3 linked regions of the Callithrix jacchus genome follow. The protein of the gene in region 2 interacts with the protein of the main gene of each other region in a biochemical or structural test. Links are inferred from orthologs where the notes say so. Each region holds a gene or a part of one and is shown on either strand. Other genes may lie near its edges.

Region 1 (6,820 bases), on a different chromosome or scaffold from region 2:
ATGAACTGGGACCGAATGAAAAGAGAGAACTCTACTGGACATGGTGGCAGAGGGCTGGAGGTAATAGCAGGCCTCTTAGAAGGGTGTCCTGGAGCGGTCCTAGGGGCTCAGCCTCCTGTAGTCCTAACCCCAGGAACAGGACACTGCCCTTCCTCACGCCCCTCCCAGAGCACTGCAGCCAAGCACGGGTTGCTCACAGGCTCTGAGTCCTGGCAGCTCTAAAATCCAAAAAGGCCTCCAATGCCAGAAGAAGAGCCAAAGCCAAAGATGTGGCGGGTGCTGGATGAGAAGCCTGGCATCAAATCCCACCTCTGCCACTCCCTCCTCCCTGCTCCTCCTTCTCGTTACGCAGGTCCCCACTCCCTGTCCTCCCCACCACTACACAAGCTGCAGGAGGGCAGGGACCTGCCTGCTGACTCTTCCTATGTGTGCACAGTGCTACAAACTAGGTGCTCTCCAAATGGCTTCAAGCTAAAGAATTAATGAATCGATAGATAAATGGATGGATGGATGGATGGATGGATGGATGGATGGATGGATGGACAGATGAACAAAGGCTGTATGGATGGATGGATGGATGGATGGACAGATAGACGGACGGACGGATGGATGGATGGATGGATGGATGGATGGATGGATGGATAGACGGACGGACAGATGAACAAAGGCTGGATGGATGGATGGATGGATGAATGGATGGATGGACAGATGGAAAGACAGATGAATGGATGGGTGGGTGGATGGATGGATGGATGGGTAGATGGACGGATCGATGAATGGATGGGTGGGTGGATGGATGGACAAATGGATGGATGGACAGATGGAAAGACAGATGAATGGATGAGTGGATGGATGGATGGACGGATGGACGGATGGACGGACGGATGGATGGATGAATGGATGGGTGGGTGGATGGATGGATGGATGGGTAGATGGACGGATCGATGAATGGATGGGTGGGTGGATGGATGGACAGATGGATGAATGGATGGATGGACGGATGGATGGATGAATGGATGGGTGGGTGGATGGATGGATGGATGGGTAGATGGACGGATCGATGAATGGATGGGTGGGTGGATGGATGGACAGATGGATGAATGGATGGATGGACGGATGGATGGACGGATGGATGAATGGATGGGTGGGTGGGTGGGTGGGTGGGTGGATGGATGGATGGATGGATGGACGGATGGATGGACAGATGGATGGATGTGAGCTGTGAGACCTCAACATTTCCAAGCATTATTTTCTCATCTGTAAAATGAGGAGAGTAAAGCATTAGGTTGCTGTGAGGATTAAATTCCAGAAAGCACACAAATGCCCAGCACCGTACAGCACATAGAAGGCCCTCCACACACAGTCCTCATGAGGATCCCAGTGGCACGTATGAGGACTTGCTGTTGGCAGAGTCCACCAGAGCCAAGGCAGTGGAAAGTTCATTTGACCTCCCATGGATGTGGGCAGAGGCAGCATGGTTCCATGGAAAGAGGGGTGGCCTTTCAGAAGGCACCCAAGGACAAATCCCAGCTCTGCCACCCTGGCAAGCCACTCTCCCTCCCCAAGGCCTTGCTTCTCCATCTGCAGAATGGGGATGATAACAGCTCCTGCTCAGCACCATACAAAGATGCAAAGTGGGCCTGGCCACTTGAGGGAGGGGCTCAGTCCTCTAGCTGAGTCTCATCTACTTCGGCAGCATCTCAGCAGGGCCAGCAGAGGGTTAAGCAAAGCCCTGGGTAAGCCTCTGATGAGATCAGATTTCTGTGCTGCCGCAGAACTTGACCAAGTCCAGTAATAAACACTCAGGTTGATCTTTGATAGCACGGCCCCCCCAGTGGCTGCGGAGGCTGCAACACTAATGACAGGAAGCCGTGAGAACAGGGCAACCACCCAGAAGAAGCAGGCACCCCTTGCTCAGCAAGCAGGGCCTTCTGCAGACTCAGAACAGATTTACTGAGCCAGGACGGGAGGCCTGAGCACCTGGGGACCAGCACAGCCTAGAACGGGGAGACGGCGTCTTTGCAAGTGGTTCTGATTCCTTCCCTGGAGATTTTGGGTTTTGCTTTGTGCATTTAAGGCACAAGCCCAGTAAGAAGCCAGAACTCCCTCTTGGAAGCCAGATCCTATAATGTCACCACCTGTCACAGCAGGGAGGGTATACTAAAGGCTCCAGGCCACCCTACTAGGGAGCTCTGGCGCCCAGGGAGCTCTGGACCCTGGAGCAGGGGCTGCCTGCGGCCTTCTGCAGAGCTATGGCTCCAACAGGGACTGTCCCTGGGGACAGCTTCAATTCAAAGCAAAAGCTGCCCAATAAAAATAGTTTTCCTTTCACAACTCAAGTCAAGAGAAAGCCTGCACCATGCCTGGTGACAAAGCAGGGACCAATCAAATCTGCCCCAGCTCTGCACCCACCCTCTCTCCTTTCCTGCCCCTGCCACAGCAACCAGGCCACAGCCGATTGCCACGTGTGTCTGTGTCAGCATCCTGGCTTGTGTGGCCACAGCACTTTCACACCAGGCCCTGCTGAGACGCTGTGGAGACAGACTTGTGAGAGGGCCCTTTGCCTCTGACTTCCCAGGGACCCCAAGAATTCCCAGAGACCCCTAGGTGGAGCAAGATCTTGGGTTCCACCTGGGGAGAGGCAGAGCACATAGAGGAGGACAGTGTTGTGTCGCCAACCTGCCCTGTCTGCCCATCTGTAGAATAGGCAGTGACACCGCCCTCCCAGGAAAGCAGGACGAGTAGGCACAAACACAGCTGTGTCTGAATCTGGCCCAGAGCTGGACGCACAGCAGGAACTCAGCCCCCACCCCTGCCCCTCACACACCCCACAGGGTTTCACTCCCTCTCGTGGCCGCAGCTTTGTAGGAGGCTCCTTTTGAGCCACTTTCTTTTTCAAAGTTAATGGGCAACACATTCTCCCAAAGAGAAACTCAGCATTTTGGATGGCTCCAGCAATGTACACAGACAAGCAAGGAATCCTCCCCTAGCCTTGTCTTGGCAGGGCAGGGGGTTGTCTGGGGTGGGGGAAGGGGTGGCAGTGGCAAGGGCAGAAGAAAACCTCAGATGTTAAGTGTTATACGATTAAGTGTTATCCAACCCAAAGAACGGGATTGGGAGGCTAGGGATGCATTCTGGGAACAAGACTCTCAGAACGGGTGGGGGCACGGTGGGGACTCTTGCCATGGGGCACTGGGCACTGGCTCGTAGTTCAGTGAACATTCTTCACCACTTCCCCTGGCACCCCAAAAAGCCTTCTGGGTGGGAGCTGCCCTTCCTCCCTGGGCCCCCACCTTGCTCCAGCACTGCCCACGGCACACCCCGCCATCCCCGGGGGCCCACCCCCCACCACCGCGTCGTCTGTTACCTGACAACTGACACTGGCATCCAAAGGGAGCCTCCGTCTGACCCTCACCCTGAGTCCCGTCACCCGAGACCGGGCGCGCGCTGCAGCACGGCAGGGGGAGGCAGGGCGGGAGAGCGCCCAGGGCCCGCAGAGGTGAAGTGATCACGGATGAGTGAGGGTGGGAGGAGGCGGTTATGGGGGCCACCGCTGGCAGCTGGGCAGGCCTGCACGGCCCTGGAGAAAAAACAATAGAAAAGACTGGTCAGTCGGGCCCTGGACCAAGTGAGGGGCACGGGGTGGGACGGGGCCCGGGGCGCGGGGCTCGGCTCAGGCCACCCTTCAGGGGTGGGAGGCCCCAGGGGTGCCAGGCACTGCAGGGAAAGCAATCGGGACACAGGCAGGGGAATGGGCATGGGGAGGTGGACAGGGGGCTCTGGGAAGGGCCCTGTTTCCACAGCTGCCAGGCTGGGCTGTTGAGGAGGCAGGACCCCATCTCTGGGGGCCTTGTGCAGGGGGCTGGGTGAATGGGGGCTGTGAGGGCCCCGCTCTCAGGAAGGACCCCTGACGTGGGGGCTTCTGGAGCAATCAAGCAGGTTCCATTTGGGGATCTGTTTCCAAAACTTCGGGCTACCCCTCCCTGGAAGAGCTGGGTAGCTCAGCACCTCCCCTGTGTTGCTGATGGGTTGCAGGATGGGTTGCTCGTACAGGCCAGGGACAGCTCGGCCTGCCTCCAGGTGTCTGAGCACTAAGAGTCTCCCGGCTTGCAGACTACCTGCAGGGGCTCTCTTCAGCCCCAAGCACCAAGCATGTGCACCCCAGCCCCAAAGCCCTTCAGAAGGCTTTTTCACCCCCACAACACCCCAAGAAAACCCTGGCGCTGCTCAGCCACTCCTAACATCTCAGCCTGGCTTGGGAGGCCTCCCGCCATGTGACAGAGCGAGGACGCAGGGCCAGGGTCGGCCCCGCCTCTGCCCAACCCCACAGCTCGCTCAGCTCCCTGGCAAGGCCTGCGTTTGATTTAGCCGTTTATCTTAAATGGCTAAGAGACCACCAGGGCAAAACATTTGTGTGAAGCCCTTGCCAAAACCACAAGTGAAGAAGCCCAAATTCCCTGGGCAAATAATTGAACAGGAAAGCATCAGAGAGACAGAAAGGAAACATCAACAAGAGGACGGGCAGCTGGGCCCAGCCAGCTCCGGCAGGGAGGCCCAGCACAGGTCTGCACGGCTGGGGGTCTGCCCACTCCAGGGCCCCCACATGGATCCCCCCAGCCCAAGGAGAGCCACAGGGGCCTGTGAGCCACCGTGAGCCAGGAGCCTGTCAGTCTTCATTGAACTGAACTTCCTAACACACTCACGGGGGGTGGGGCTTAGGATACCCATTGCACAGGCTGGCGTGACTGCAGAAAACTGCAGACATCAGCAGCTCATCCAAACCCCAGCTGTCTGGCCCCAGAACCAGGGCTCTTTCTCTGTACCCTGGTTTCTCTGAAACATGGGTTATCCAGGATTGAGGCACTGGGGCATTGAACAAGACCCCCTGCTTAGGGACTGCCAACTGCCAGTGTCCCGTCAAGAGGTCAAAGCTAACGCCAACACTGCTCGGACCCCTCTGGGCTACCGAAGACCCCATATTAGGTTAGGCCTAGGGCCCAGGGTGTTTCTGAGCTAGGGTTAGCCCTTGGAGGACATGGCTGAGGAACCTGTAAACCGTTTCAGTCTCAGATGCTGATGGGAAGGCCATGTCCTAGATTTAGTGCCGTTCCTCAAGGAAGGTCAGCACCTGCCCCCTCCTGGAAGCCTGCCCTGACCTGAACCTCCCTGGCCTGCACGCTGCCTGTGCTCCTGTCCACTGGTGGTCTCAAATCCCTATGTGGGCCTTCCCTGCAGACCACTGAGGACATCCATCATCATGACAGCCACTTCGCTCAGCAAACATCCACATTCTGTGGTGGGGAAACTGAGGCTCGGGGATATCTGAGACTGGAACCCAGCTGTGTCTCCAGAGCCCGCAATGCTCTGCTTCCCTCTAGGGCTGCAGTGAATGGAGTGAAGGGACCAGGGCTCGTAGGATCTATAGTCAGGGGAGGAGGACTGAGATCCTGGGCTCAATCCCGCCATTGGTAGCTGCAAAGGCCAAACCCAAGCTCCGGTTCCTGGGTTCTGTGTGAGGCCATGACACAGCCAGCACCATTTATCATGATGGAGAAACCGGCAGAAGCACCTCGAGGCCTGGTAAGGTTGTCCCAGGTGCTAAGGAGCTGACTCTGTGTCCGTGGCGGGAGGAACAGTTGGAGAGCAGCTAGAAAACAGGCAACTGGCCACACCCTTCTCATGGAAAGGTCCAAGGTGGGGCTCAAGCCAGGGTCTGTAAAGGCGATGTCACACACCACGAGATGCGCCCTGCATAGGGGTCGGGGGCTGGGCCGCCCTGGACAGGTTCCCCAGGGCCTCATTAGGAATTCTGACCTTCCTGAAGTCGACCTGCTCCAGGGGCCAGCTCAACTGAGGCTGAGGGGAGGGGGGCAACCTGGAGAGGGGCTTCAAATCCCAAGCTCTTCGGGGCTTCTCTGGGGCTCTCAGAGCACCTTCTACCCTGGGAGAGGTTTCCCCATGGGGCAGCTTAAACCCAGAGCCCTGCCCAAAGGTGGAACTCAAGAAATCTGAAACTATTGCAAAAGCCAAAGTGATGAAAGGACCCACATACTGCATGATTCCACAGATATGAAATGTTCAGAAGCCGCCAATCCATGGACACAGAAAGTAGCGGTTGCCAGGGGCTAGGGAGCCAGGAGGGGCAAGAAGGGAGGCTAGTGGGTACAGAGTCTCTTTGGGGGGTGATGAAAATTCTCGGGACTTAGGAGTGACAGCTGCATGACATTGTGAGTGTACAATTTAAAATGGTCAACTTTACATCACGTGACTCTTAACTTGGAAAAACAGCCTCAGTACCTGTCCCAGCCTACCTCCTAGCCCCCATCCTTCCTCAGAGGAGGGGTATCTGCCTTTAAAAGTGCAGCTGGGAAATCCAGAAAGCACTTAAGGAGCGCTTGAGGCCTGGGGACAGGGTGTGCAGCCACACGTGCACAGAGGAAGCCACCAGAGCTCCCACGCCATACAGCCTTCAGGACCGAGAGGCCTGGATTCGAATTCCTCCTCAGCCGTCTCCTGGCCTCCTGGTTGAAGGTGAGTCACTTTCTCAGAGCCTCAGCTCCCTCAGCTTTAAAGGAAGGGTCAGAGCCAGGGACAGAGGAAGCACGCAGCAAAGGGTCACCATCCTTCTCTCACTTTCCATTCCGATACCTGCCCCACTCCCTATGGTCCTTTCCAAGGCACCAGCACTGCCCAGCAAAGAAAGCAAGAGGGTGTGCTCTGAACACAGCAAAGCCCACTACAAAGACCTGCAAGACACTCCAAAAAGAACGCTTTCTTTGGAGGTCTACGCACACACAAAAAAAGTTTAAAAACAAGGCCC
Region 2 (6,820 bases):
CACCCCGCCCGCTGCCTGCTCAGGATTGTGTCCCTGGGATCGTGAGCTGTGGCTTAAAATCCCCTTCTTCCCTCTGTCTTGGATGTGCTCGATGTGTGTCTCCCGCGTGTGCGTGAGGCTGCTTGGGGCTGTGCTGGCATGAACTTGGGGAGGGGTGCTTATTTCCTCCAGAAAACTCTGTTTCTGTGTTTTTTCATTCCACTTTTCCCTCCACCTCTTCATACCCTTTATTTAAAATGGGGGAGGGCTGGGGGCTGGAGTACCCTGAACCATAGATTCATTGCTGCCATCATCCTTTTGGAAGCTTAGCTTGGAAAAAGAGGAGTGAGATTTATTGCACTTGTAGGTCTAATTAGGGGGGAAGGGGGGCTTCTGGCCCGTTCACTGGTTCCCTCTCTTCTTCACGGAGCTGGGGCCGCCTCCTCCAGAGCTGTGGCCTTGTTTTCACCCCTCTACTTTGAAAGGAAAGTTTGTGACTGAACCGTGCTTTCATAGTTCTGTCATTTTTTTTAAAGCATGATACTCGTTTTATTTCTTCATCAAACTCCACCCTCTCCTTAAATACTGCATACAAATTACAATTTACAACGGCATTTACCGATCCTTCTGATTTGGCCATAATGCATAGACTGCAGCTGGCATGAGCTTCCACATCATTTAATCCCTGTGTTGTATGGGTTTGTGTTTTTTTTTAAAAAAAAAACACAACTTTTGATGTTGTATTTGGATCTGCTTCATGTTCATGTGGCAAGAGATGCAGTACTTTTCTTATAAATATATTTTGCCGTTTACAGTTAAAGTTTATCTCTTGACAATCATTAAAGATGTCTTATAGTCAAATTAGAGAACCAGTCAATTTTGCAGAATGCAGATTACTCTTTCTTGTAATTGACTTTAAAATTATATTTTATATGCCAGAAGAAAAGAAATTGAATTCCTTCAGATCTGAAGGAGCAGGCAAATATGACTACTTCATTTCTAGCTCCAGGGAGATTTTGCAGGCATCTGGAAAAAAAAAAAAAAAAAACTTTAAATTGTACTCTCACTTAATTGAAAAATAACTGCCAAGTTCAAAACTATAATTAGAAAAAAGTATTCTAGCCATTATGTTTCAAGAGCTTAAGTTGCACTGGAACTTGTATTAAAATTAGAATCAAAGCAAACTTAAGAAAATAGGGCAAAACCTGAAATAAGACAGCTACATGTACATGAACATAGCTGTATTAATTTGTTGGGGGGAGAGTTCAGTAGCCCTAACTTTTCCTAAAGTTGTCTTTGTTTACATGGCAATTTAAAACGCTGGCACTGTTGAAGTAAAACATACACATTAAAAAAAAAAAAAAAAAACTTTGGTCAGCTTTAAGAACTCAAAGCATGCTTACGTTTTGCATTCAGATGGTTAATGAATCCAGTGTTTTTGCAGTTGAAAGCTCGTGCATTCACTGGGCAAAAGCTGGCTGCAGGTTGCAGTGGCACCGCACAGGACAGACATTAATTATATTTCCCACTTTTTTCAATAATGTTTGGCTACTGTAAGTTCAATTTTTTTCTTGAAAATTTTCAATTTTCTGTTGCTTTTAATAGTGAGAACTTTGTATGAGGCGACGGGGAGGAGGGGAGAAGGGAGGGGTGCAGGATACTTGTTCTCTACTCAAAAGTTGTAAGTGGTTAGTAGGATATGCAACTTGTGTCTATTTTAAGAATCATTCTATAGCATTTTAAGAGAATATGGAAACATTTTATCAGCAAAACGCTCCTTGCTTGCAAATGAGGAGGCCTCTAGGCATTTGCCTAGAACCACAACCTTCCTCCGGTTTCGCCTTTTATTTAATCCCTGATTTTTTTTTTTTTTTTAATTCTGAAGGGGTGACTGAGGTTTCATTTATCTTAGTGTTCCTCCTTGGTGGCTTAGGGGTTGGGTGGCACTTTCTTGGCCTTGCCAGGGTGGGGACCCTGGAGTCAGGCCTAGTTCCGGCGGGGCTGAGGTGGCCAGGGGCTCAGGCGATGGACACATCGAGCTACGGAGCTGGAGGGCCTCACCCCAGATCTCCTCGCGGTGTGGACTGTGAGAGCGAGCCAGAGAAGATGCGCAGGGCGCGTGTGGCTGCGGGAAGAGCTTCTGCATTGTGTTGGGTACGCTGCGGCGCGGCAATGTTCGCAAGCCCCCTGGATGCACATTGCCTCTTTTCTCTCTTTCTTTTTGTCAGCGGTTCAGCGAGGAAGAATGCCTCCAACCCAGCCCAATCCAGGCCAGTACGCACTCACCAACGGGGACCCCCTCAACGGCCACTGCTACCTGTCCGGCTACATCTCGCTGCTGCTGCGCGCCGAGCCCTACCCCACGTCGCGCTACGGCAGCCAGTGCATGCAGCCCAACAACATTATGGGCATCGAGAACATCTGCGAGCTGGCCGCGCGCCTGCTCTTCAGCGCCGTCGAGTGGGCCCGCAACATCCCCTTCTTCCCGGATCTGCAGATCACCGACCAGGTGTCCCTGCTACGCCTCACCTGGAGCGAGCTGTTCGTGCTCAACGCGGCCCAGTGCTCTATGCCGCTGCACGTGGCGCCGCTGCTGGCCGCCGCCGGCCTGCACGCCTCGCCCATGTCCGCAGACCGCGTCGTGGCCTTCATGGACCACATCCGCATCTTCCAGGAGCAGGTGGAGAAGCTCAAGGCGCTGCACGTCGACTCGGCCGAGTACAGCTGCCTCAAAGCCATCGTGCTGTTCACGTCAGGTGAGGCTGCGGTCGCGGGGAGGGCAGGCCACGCTGCCGGCGAGCGCAGGCCCCGCGCCGCCCGGGCCTGGCCTTTGGAGGCTCCCGCGCGGCGGGTGCGGGGCGGGCCGGGCCCTAGCCGGACACTGAGCCTGGCCCGGGTCTGCGACCCTCGCGCGGGGACCGGCCAGCCGCGCAGCTGCCATCTTGGGAGCTCGGCGGTGCGGGAGCGGAGGCGGCGCGGGTGTGGCCGGCGGGCGACCGGGCCTAGTCGCCCGGACCCTTGAGTGGGACCGCGGCTGCCGCGGATGTGTGTCTGAGGCGGGCGGGGTGGGGGGGAGCAGTGCTGTGGATCTGCCTGGCTGCGCAAGTGAGCGGGTGTTCGTGTGTGTGTGTGTGTGTGTGTGGTTTGTGTTATGTGTGAGCCAGAGCTCAGCGTTTCTGGGGGAGGCGAGGGAAGGAAGAGAACGTGGGAATGTGGCTTCTTACCTTGTGTGGCAAGCTCCTTGGATGAGTTTCCCGACATAGGGAGACACAGAGAAAGGTGGAAAGAGAAGAATACGCACAAATAAATCGTAAATAATCCCGCTTTATTGCTGCCTGATTTTCCCTTATCGGAAACCATTCATGTTTGCAGTTGCTGAGGTTATTGAGGGTCGTAAAAACAGGATTCGATCTAAACAAGAAAGATAAAAAACAAAAGCAATACTATAGAACCCGCAAGTATAGGAGGATTCCCCACCTAGAGATGAATTACAAAGCTATGCAAAACACATAAACATTGGAAATTTAACAGAGTGCCTTAAAAAATATCAAATTATGTGTAGGCAGTGGTAACATGCATGTTAACAATTTCTCTTATGATAGATGGTTCAAATTAACTTCCAGGAAAGTGCATTAATGTTTCCTTTGAAGGGCTCTGGTCTGAGCCTCTGAGAACATTGCCCGCTTTTTATTATTGTAACCTGCAAGAGGGAAATATATAAACACCCAGGACAGCAGGTAATGGGGGGAAATAGAAACAAAGCCAGAGAGAAGGCTGCTTAGACTGGATCTTGGGCCCTGCCCACTGTGAGTAGGGTTAGCTGCAGTTTTACCACCATTATTGGCACTATTGTTTTTAATTCCTCCATTCAGAGAACAAATAAACCATCCTAATAAATCTATCCTGGAGCCAGGCTTTCCAATGGCCAAATTAAAACCATTCTTGAGCAGAGATGGCAAAATCCCTTTCCTAAGGCCTTGTTGAACAGTAAGCAACGGTATAATCTATCAATATTTCTTGGCTTTCATGCGTGAAGAATCGTATTTACATTGTATTAAAATGACTCTTAAATTTGCACAATATTGTAATGTAGCAAATGTAGTATTAATATCGATCTGAACAGCAGATAATTTATTTAGACAAGAGCATCTCATTTGTATGCAGGGTGGCCAGAGCCATGGACTTGGACTGCCCCCCTTTTACTTTCAGTGCAAATGCAGGTCTGCTAGTGAGAGAGGGAGTTATTCTTTCCAAGAGGATAAAGTGCAAACCTTAAAACAAATGGAAGATTTATGGAATAGCCTCCTTGGTGTTTGAATGCATTTTATCTTAATAAGTCTTCTTGATGGAAATGTGTTTTTCAAAAGTGACAAAGAGCCTGGGAAGCAGCAACCAGGCTGCTTCAGCTCTGGCAGGCCTGGGGCCTGGCTGGCTCTCTACTACCAGGCTCTTTAGCCAAATTCATCAGGAAGCAAGCCAGTGTCAGGGAAGCTGGGGTTTCAAAATCTCATCCAGCGAGGTGTCTTGAAGCAGAAATGTGACTTGGAACTGGACAGAAGTCCTCTCAGGAAAGGTCTCCCCTCTTTTTTCCTTACTCCCCCTAAGGTTCTTTGAATCCGCCTTGACTTTGTTAATCTCATGCCCTTTCCCAGAGAGTGGTGAGGACTGTGCAGGCTGCAGGGAAACATTGTGGAATTATTCATGCTTTTCTTTTAACTTTCCATCCTAAAACATTCCTGTGAAAAGTGTTCCTTTAAAAAGTTTTCCAAAGAAGTTTCTTGAATCAAGGCTTCAAGGTGCAAGGAGTGCCTAGAAATGAACAATAACATTATTTTGTTGGAAAATTGCAAGGAGAATATCTGAAAATGGAAATAGAGCTGTCAGTAGTAATTCACCCCCACCCCCCATGCAACACATTTCCACTTTTGACTAAACTTGTTTTGATTGCTAGCCAGAAGGGAATTCATGGGAAGCCTTCTCAAAGTCATCCAACTTTTAAGCAAACTTTGAATGATGGAAAAGACAGTTTTAGACATATTGTCCAATGTGGTTTGCTCTGGCTAAGTATTTGAAGCTGGCACCGGGGTCCCCCGTGGTGGTTTTCACATTTGGCCTCCGGATGGTATGTTTAATCCTTAATATTCTGGACTCCATCCAAGGACTAGGTCATGACCTGAACTTACTTTTTTAAAAAATTCATTAATTCATACATCTAAATATTCCTTCAAATAAATGAGACTTTCTCTGAAAGGAGCCATCTAGTTAACATAAATACAATAAATCCATTTTCAGCACAATAATAACTTTGATTTCTAGTTATAGCAGCTGATAACATCTATATTTCCTGAACACTAAACTCTTCTGAATGCACAACATGAAATATATTCTCTGCACTACAAAGACTAAGCCAGGAGGGCCTGAGCAGTAATGGTTATTTATTTACATAATTTCTTTTCCATATACTGTAGAAGAAATATTGAGAGTTCCCACATTGACACTACCATATAAAAAGTGTGACATGGATTTTGCACATTCTGCCTCATTTTCTTATCTGGAGTATAACTCATGGAGCATAAATATGTACTGCATTACACTCCCTGGTCACCTAGCTTTGTCACCACAACCCCCCAGTTGATCTGGGAACTCATACCTTCTGTCCACATTTGGGGGAATCCTGTTGCAAAGGGGTGAGAGAATATTCAGACTGGGAAGATAGGCCAGAACCAGGGCTCCTGACGAAGGGAAGCCACAGAGATGGCTGGCTGGTACCTGACAGGCAGGCCCAGCTACATACATTTGTCTCCAAAGGAGGGAAGAAATGGAAGCAGTCAGCACAGGGCCCAAGCAGGCTTTTCCTGGGCTTGTCTCTTTTGGAGCCGCCTGTTTGGGAGTCAGGAAATGACCTTGTGTTCTGGGGACCCTAATTGTAAATGTCAGATAGATATTTTACTGACCTGAGGGGATGCCAGATGGATCTTAAAAAAATTAATAATCTGCTGGGGTACCAAGGAGTCCTTTTCACATTGCATTGTCTGGGGCTCAGAATGATCCATAGCATCCAGGCAGATAATGCCTGTAAAGCAAGCTATATGTAAATATGGGTTTGTGTCTGAGTGAGGGTCATTCATCAGGGCCAGGTTAGCAAGCAGGGCCAAACTCAGGGTCCCCTCTCTAAGTAGCAAAGCCCCACGGAGCTCTTGCCACCCTGGCTCTGCTAGCCGTAAAGTCTCGTTTGGCTTCCCAAATCAGACCAGTGTGGATATACCCAATTGGCTGGCTGGAGTAATTAGACATCTGAGAGGAACCTAAGTCTGTATCTGAGGTCAAAGGGGACTTGCCTCAGAAGTTCTTGAATTATCACTAGTTTTATTTGTATTTTTGCTCGAGGCCATAGCCTTGTAGATGAAGGTGTTAGAATGCTTTGTAAATCCCAGTTCTTCAAATATAAGGACAGAAAGCTCAGAAACTCAGCAGACACATGTTTTGCTTTAAATCATTTGTTGTGTCTTCATAGGTTCACACTTGCCCATTCACAATTATACAATCTCATTTTGGGGGCATTGCCATGCATGAATTTTCTTCCTAGATCTATATATTAGCAAACTCTGCCTTTGATCTCTAGTCAACCTCCTGACTGGCTAAGGGCTCCTCTGTGATCTTCCTGTTTTTTAAAAAATATTTATTATTAATACAAGAAACAAGTGGGTATTTGAACTAGGAGAGGACACCTTTACTCCATTACTCCATTCCTCTTATTCCATCTTTCCCACCCTTTGCTTGCCTCTAGTTAGTTTATACAGTATAATCTGCTGTCCTGAAATATTTTTAGATGACCAAGACA
Region 3 (6,820 bases), on a different chromosome or scaffold from region 2:
TAGATGCTGCAACATGCAGTATTTGTAAAACTAACAACACAGATTTCTAAGGAATGGTTTTTTAAATAGACCCAACTGGCTGGTCAAAAGGTAACTGAAGGGTATTCCCACCCTTATTTGCAGTCAGCCAGGAAGACCCTATCAAAACACCTGAAGTAATTTGTAGCGTCTAGGGTCCCTGGGATCTCAGAACCACAAGGCAAACCACTATGCATCTCAGGAAATCAGTGGCTGATTCTAAAGACTTCACTATGTCTGGCTTGTCTGGCTGAACCCCTAGTGGCTGCTTTTTTCTCTCTCTTTCTCTCTCTTTTTCTCCCTCTTTTTTTATTTTTATGTTTGTTACCTGATGCCTTTGTTTCCAGATTTTTAGATTTGAAAAGTGGGATTATTTTGTTACAAGGAAAGAGTCTTACATGGAAACTAAACAGATGATTTTTTTTTTAAAAATCATTTTTACATTATATTATAAGGCAAGGATGGGAGAGTAGAAAAGAACTTTTAGACAACAAGAACAGCAAAAAATCCAAAGGAAATAAAAATTTAAGATGCTATTACCAGCAAGTTTTTTCACTTATATTTGAATGGATTTCTGCTAAGAGATGGAGTAAGTTTTTAACATCAGACTGAAAACACTTTCCATATCTTGAAAATTATTCTAGAACTGTAAAGCCTTAAAACTATTTCCATGGGTTGAGGTATGTCTATTTTAATATAGTAAGTACTTAATGTTCCTTTAGGGTATAATACACGCATCAGAATGCCCATAGAAATAATCCTGAAAAAGACTGACTGGCCTTCTCTTAAAACCTGTTATTTTCTTGAAAGTAATTTACAGAGTGTGTCAAATGAGGACACAAGAAGCTTACAATGTGTACTTTAATTTTTTTTTATTTTTTTCAATAAAGGGACAAAATGGGTGTATGAACAGGTTAATGCAGACAACTGCCAAAAAAACACAGACAGTGGTTTTTCCAATAGAACTTAACAAAGACCAGAAACAAATACAATAAAAAGCCAGGTTGTAATGACCTTTGGTCATCTAAATAAAAAAAAAAAATAAAAACAAAGAAAAATAAAAGATCAAATTAAGTGCCTCTGTTTTGAACAGGGCACATAAGCAATAATAAATAGTGACTCCCATAGTAAAAGATAAAATTTCAAGTTACGACAAACAGCTTTCATTACAGGAATAGAAAAGGCCAATAACAAAATATTCTGCATTGCCATTTACAAAAAAGTATTGACTAAAGCGGGCTTTCTCTTTAATATGCTTTGCATATGAAATTCTTTCCAATCTAAATATAAAGCACCATTTAGTTTTTGGCAATGAAAAAAACTGCAAAACATTGGTTTTTTTTTTTTTTCCTTTTTTTTCTTTCTTTCTTTTACTGCATATGAAGGTAAGATGCTGGAATGTAGGGTGATAGAAGGAAAGGGACAAAAAGCACACTACATAACAAACCAACGTTATTAGCTTGCAGTACTGCATACAGTATGGCAGCAGGAAAAAGGAACAAAAAAGGATATGTACAACCCCTATGACAGTCATCCATGTGACATTCTAGCAGGCTCCCCCAAACCGCCATTATATGGCTTCTCGTCTGTAATGTCACACTTTTTTGTTTCTCTCTTTTTTTTTTGAAGCATACAAATAATTTGCACTATATTATCCTGCCAAATTAAAAAAATATACTGTGGCAGCCTGTCTTTTTTTTTTCCACTACCAAAAAAGGTACATTGATACCTTTTAAGAGAACAAGCAACAGTTAAAAATACAAGCTTCAATATAAATACTATAGTGCCTAACACTAGATGAACATTTAATTCAAATACCATTCTAGAAATACAGAAAAAAGACCATAAATGTATTTTAGCATAGGAATCAACATGAAGTGTGCATTTTCCTATATTTAAGTACTATATAATCTTAAACCTTTCCCCAATGTATGTTTTTTTTTTTTTACAACCTGAAGAGCGGTGTGTATCCAAGGCATAGAATTTCCACTACCATTTTTAAATGGATAACAAGTCTTGTAACACCACCAAGACAATGGAACCCTAAAATGCAGTTCCCCCCTAAACATAATGAAGTGTTTTTTTTAAAAAATTTTTTTCTTAACATTTATATTTAAAAAAGTTTTGTACAAAAAAATCCTTGCACTGTAGAAGCGAAAGCAATCATTCATTTCTATGTTAAGTGTATTCTGTTTCCATTCACAGCGCTTGCAATGTTGCGTCCAAGTAAGTAAGCTCAATAGTCAAGTAAATGGCTGGCAAAGGTTTTTTTTTTTAGTTTTTTAAAAATGCTCATCAATGAGATTGTGTTCAATTTTTTTTTTTTCAGCATTCTTGCAACTTTTCCCTTAAGTATAGACCTGTAAACTGGGAAAATTGTACAGTGCACTTAATTGTCCTATCTGAGCAGGTTTATTTTATACTCAACCTCTGTATCTCTGATTAGAGAAAAGATACAGATATCACAGGCAGAGTCAAGTGCTATTTGAACACCAACTGGGGCAGATGCTAGCTTAATAAAAAAATAAAAAAATAAAAAATAAAATAAAAACAATGAATCCTCTTCCATGTTAACACAAATAGCACACAGTGTATGGAAAAGAAATGAAGTACAACTTTTAGGGAGCACAGACATATATACTGCTACTCTTAAAAATTCTTTCTCTTCTTTCTTTAAGAATGTCACATTTAAATGCAAGTCTTAAGAATTCATAGTTAATCATCATTATATCAATATTAGCTTATATACCTGTTCTAGTTTTAAATGGCAAACAGTACCACGTTGTGCTAATAAATCGTATTTTTTTCTTCTGTTCCCTTTGTCAAATCTTATTGTCAGCCTCTTCTTTTCAATATGGTATACAAGATCTTAAAGTTTCTCATTTGATTGTCCACTTGACAACCAAGTAGATCTGGATCTATTTCTTTTGGTGCCAGAATTTTTTTAAAAGACATTATTAAAGCAAATATCTTCACAAAATGAACTCCTTACTAATGTATTGAATTGTGTTCCAGGGCTTTTGCACATTACACATTCAATTTTAATCATTGTTTAAAAAAAATACAACTTTGGGCAAAACAGCCCATTTCTTTTAAGCTCTCACCAGGAGCAAAGTAGCTTTTATACTGGTATAATCAGTTTTGTTTATAAAATTAAACTAAAGGAAAATGATGATTAACTAGGACATAATGGGTCATAGTTTTAGGTAGCCATTGTTGTGAGAAATACAATATAGAATTATATGCTAGTTCCTAAGGTTTATTACCTCACCCAATGCTGAATTAAGCTACAAGTTTATAACACGTAGAAAGAACCATCAATGTGGTTTTAATAGATCCAAGGCACTCATATTTTAAAACCAAATGATAGAATAAACTTGTTTTTTTGTTGTTGTTAATTTGTCAATTCAAGGCCTTTTTTTCCTCTCTAATTGATACATTTAACCCTTTAGAGACAGATATTTAGCTCATAGAGATTTTTTTCAGCGCTATCTATTCTGTCTATAAAGGGTTAATCCAAAGACTGTTTTTCCTCCACGTTATAAAATAAAACTGTACATGATATGTTTTACAGAATGTATGCAGCATGGTCTTTTTCTCTCTCTCTCTCTTTTTCTCTCAGAACGGAACTGGAAACAGCAACATGTTTGCTCAGCAACGAATTAGGGACAATTTAAAATAGCCATAACATACCATACATGCTGTCTAAGTTTAAAAAAAAACATACACAACATGTAAATTATTGCACAAGAGAAAGGCTCAAAGTTTGCGTAAAATGCAATAGTATTGCCCCATACAGATCATGCATTCAAACGGTGAGAACATAAAGGAAAAAAAAAAAGGAAAAAGAAAAAAGAAGAAAAAGAAAAAAAAACAGGTGTGCTGGTGACAAGCACTCTCATATTCTTAGCTTCATTACTTCTGTTTGTTTGTTTGTTTGTTTGTTTAAATCACATGGGACTAGAAAAAAATCCTACAGGGAGTGGGGCTGGAGGGCGATGGGGAAGGGGAGTGGTGAAAAAGGGGGTGTCAGGTGGGAGTGAGGGAGGGGTATTAATATACCTCTATTCAGTTTTTATATCATTATTCAACACTCGATCACTGTGCCATTTTTTCATGTGTTTCTCCAGGGTACTGTACACGCTAAAAGGCATCTTACAAATTTCACATTTGTAAACGTCCTTCCCCACCTGGCCATGCGTTTTCATGTGCCTGGTGAGCTTGCTACTCTGGGCACAGGCATAGTTGCACAGCTCGCATTTATAAGGCCTTTCGCCCGTGTGGCTTCTCCTGTGGACAGTGAGATTGCTACAGTTCTTGAAGACTTTCCCACAGTACTCACAAGTGTCGCTGCGTCTGCCCTCTTTTGAGCTGGGCCTGCCCGGGCCCGGACCACTAATATGGGGCGTGCTCCCTCCACTTCCCGTGCCGCTGCGCCCCGAGATCCCTCCGTCCAGCTCCCCGGGCGGCGTGGAGAAGCGCAAGCTCCCGTTCTCCGAGGAGTGCTCCGACGAGGAGGCAAAAGGCGATTGTCTGGAGTCTCCGAAGCTAAGGAAGGGATCTTTGAGCTGCCTGGAGGCCGCGTAGCCGGCGAGCCACTGCGAGTACACGTTTTCCGTGTTGGGCATCGCGGCCGGGGGCAGGTCGAACTCCTTCTCGAGCTTGATGCGCTTAGAGAAGGGGCTCAGCGAGCTGGGGCTGCCCAGCAGCAGCTTTTTGGACAGGCCCCCCGAGGCCGACTCTCCCGGGGAGCAGCCGCGGCCGTTAACAGTGCCATCGTCTATGCGGTCCGACTCGCCGGCCACCGAGTCTTCGTCACAAGTGTCCCTGTGGCCCTCAGCCTCGGCCAGGTGGCCGCGCTTATGCTTCTCGCCCAGGACCTGGTGGAAGGCCTCGCTGAAGTGCTGCATGGAGCTGAGCACCATGCCCTGCATGACGTCGGGCAGGGCACGGCTCTCGTCGCCCACGCCCACCACCGCGCCCCGCGAGCTGTTCTCGTGGTGGCGCGCTGCCTCCAGGCTCAGCCCGAAGCCGTAGTCCACCCTCTCGCTCTCTGTCAGCTCCTCCTCCTCCTCTTCCTCCTCTTCTTCCTCTTCCTCGTCGTCCTCCTCTTCCTCCTCGTCCCCGTTCTCCGGGATCAGGTTGGGGTCGTTCTCGCTCTTGAACTTGGCCACCACGGACTTGAGCGCGCTGCTGGCGCTGCCCACCAGGTCGCTGGTGCCGGGTTCCGGGGAGCTGGCGGTGGAGAGACCGTCGTCGGACTTGACTGTCATGGGGGACGACTTGTGCATGTGCGTCTTCATGTGGCGCTTCAGCTTGCTGGCCTGGGTGCACGCGTGGTCGCACAGGTTGCACTTGTAGGGCTTCTCGCCTGTGTGGCTGCGCCGGTGCACCACCAGGTTGCTCTGAAATTTGAACGTCTTGCCGCAGAACTCGCATGACTTGGACTTGACGGGGGGCTGGGAGGGAGGAGGGGCGGATTGCAGAGGAGGGAGGGGGGGCGTCGCCAGGAAGGGTGGCTTGCTACCTGGCTGGAATGGTTGCAGTAACCTTTGCATAGGGCTGGGCCGGCCTGGGGACAGCGGTGGGCTAGACGTGTTCCCTGCCAGCTCTCTAAGTCTCCTAGAGAAATCCATGGCGGGAGGCTCCATAGCCATTGGATTCAACCGCAGCACCCTGTCAAAGGCACTCGGGTGATGGGTGGCCAGGGCCATCTCTTCTGCCCCCAGGCGCTCTATGCGGTGGGGGTCCAAGTGATGTCTCGGTGGTGGACTAAACAGGGGGGGAGTGGGTGGAAAGCGCCCTTCTGCCAGGCCGGAAGCCTCTCTCGATACTGATCCTGGTATTCTTAGCAGGTTAAAGGGGTTATTGTCTGCAATATGAATCCCATGGAGAGGTGGCTGGGAAGGACATTCTGCACCTAGTCCTGAAGGGATACCAACCCGCGGGGTCAGGGGACTTCCGTGTTCGCTTTCTAAGTAGATTCTTAATCCATGAGTGTTCTGTGCGTGTTGCAAGAGAAACCATGCACTGGTGAATGGCTGTTTGCAAGTTGTACATGTGTAGCTGCTGGGCTCATCTTTACCTGCAAAATAATACAACACCAACATCAATGTTTAATCACTGAGGCGGGTATCAGCAATTGCTTATTTATGTTCCACCTCCAGCCTTCCCTGCCCCCACCCCTCAACCCCAAGGCCTAAGCCCTCACTGGCCTAGCCCTGTGCCTAAATTGTGCCTGGCACAACTGAGTGTGCAGCGTGCGAACCCAGTAAATATTGGCCCAACCAGTCTCCCTGCCATTAAACTCGGTTCTAGGAATTTTATAGCCAGTTCCCTAAAGCAGAAAAATCCTGGCTTGAGGATGAAGGTCCCTACATTCTAAGCACCTCAACAATTATCTTCTAAACTTTCCAGTCCCATCAGCCATAGTGTGGGGCAAGCCGTCTCATCTCCATGTGCCTCTATTTCCTCCTCATTAAGTGAGAAACGGACAAGATGACCCAAGGCAACTTTTTGGCTTCCCAAATCCTAGCTTTCTATTCTCCCCTCCGTGGCAGGTGAACTTTCTAAATAGGCAACATTTCAGAGAGACATCAAAAAACGGGGAGAAGGTCAATTCACTACAATGCCCTACGGCCCTGGAGATGCTTTCAGCCTTAGCCTTAAACACACTAATTGTTGATATTGTTAAAATGAGAGGGTACTCATAAAATACTTCCATGGAAAAAAGACTAGCAATATTCTCACATCCCAGCCTGTGGGAGGGTCAATGGATCCTAGTTTTGGTTCCACAACACCT

Evidence for each region.
Region 1: the proteins of NR2F1 (region 2) and BCL11B form a complex in vitro, tested with the Homo sapiens proteins (2 studies listed by BioGRID). The link is inferred for Callithrix jacchus from reciprocal best matches to the Homo sapiens genes NR2F1 and BCL11B.
Region 3: the proteins of NR2F1 (region 2) and BCL11A form a complex in vitro, tested with the Homo sapiens proteins (2 studies listed by BioGRID). The link is inferred for Callithrix jacchus from reciprocal best matches to the Homo sapiens genes NR2F1 and BCL11A.

What each region holds. Positions count from the first base shown.
Region 1 is NC_133509.1:134,117,471-134,124,290, forward strand, and holds part of BCL11B (B-cell lymphoma/leukemia 11B), read right to left. Parts: intron 3,581-6,820; coding exon 3,368-3,580; intron 1-3,367. UniProt on the Homo sapiens protein: Key regulator of both differentiation and survival of T-lymphocytes during thymocyte development in mammals.
Region 2 is NC_133503.1:117,067,307-117,074,126, reverse strand, and holds part of NR2F1 (COUP transcription factor 1), read left to right. Parts: intron 1-1; exon of another isoform or gene 2-108; intron 109-1,423; exon of another isoform or gene 1,424-1,519; coding exon of another isoform or gene 1,520-1,532; intron 1,533-2,207; coding exon 2,208-2,735; intron 2,736-6,820. UniProt on the Homo sapiens protein: Coup (chicken ovalbumin upstream promoter) transcription factor binds to the ovalbumin promoter and, in conjunction with another protein (S300-II) stimulates initiation of transcription. Binds to both direct repeats and palindromes of the 5'-AGGTCA-3' motif.
Region 3 is NC_133515.1:53,678,879-53,685,698, reverse strand, and holds part of BCL11A (BCL11 transcription factor A), read right to left. Parts: intron 6,104-6,820; coding exon 4,083-6,103; 3' UTR 4,081-4,082; intron 1-4,080. UniProt on the Homo sapiens protein: Transcription factor. Associated with the BAF SWI/SNF chromatin remodeling complex. Binds to the 5'-TGACCA-3' sequence motif in regulatory regions of target genes, including a distal promoter of the HBG1 hemoglobin subunit gamma-1 gene.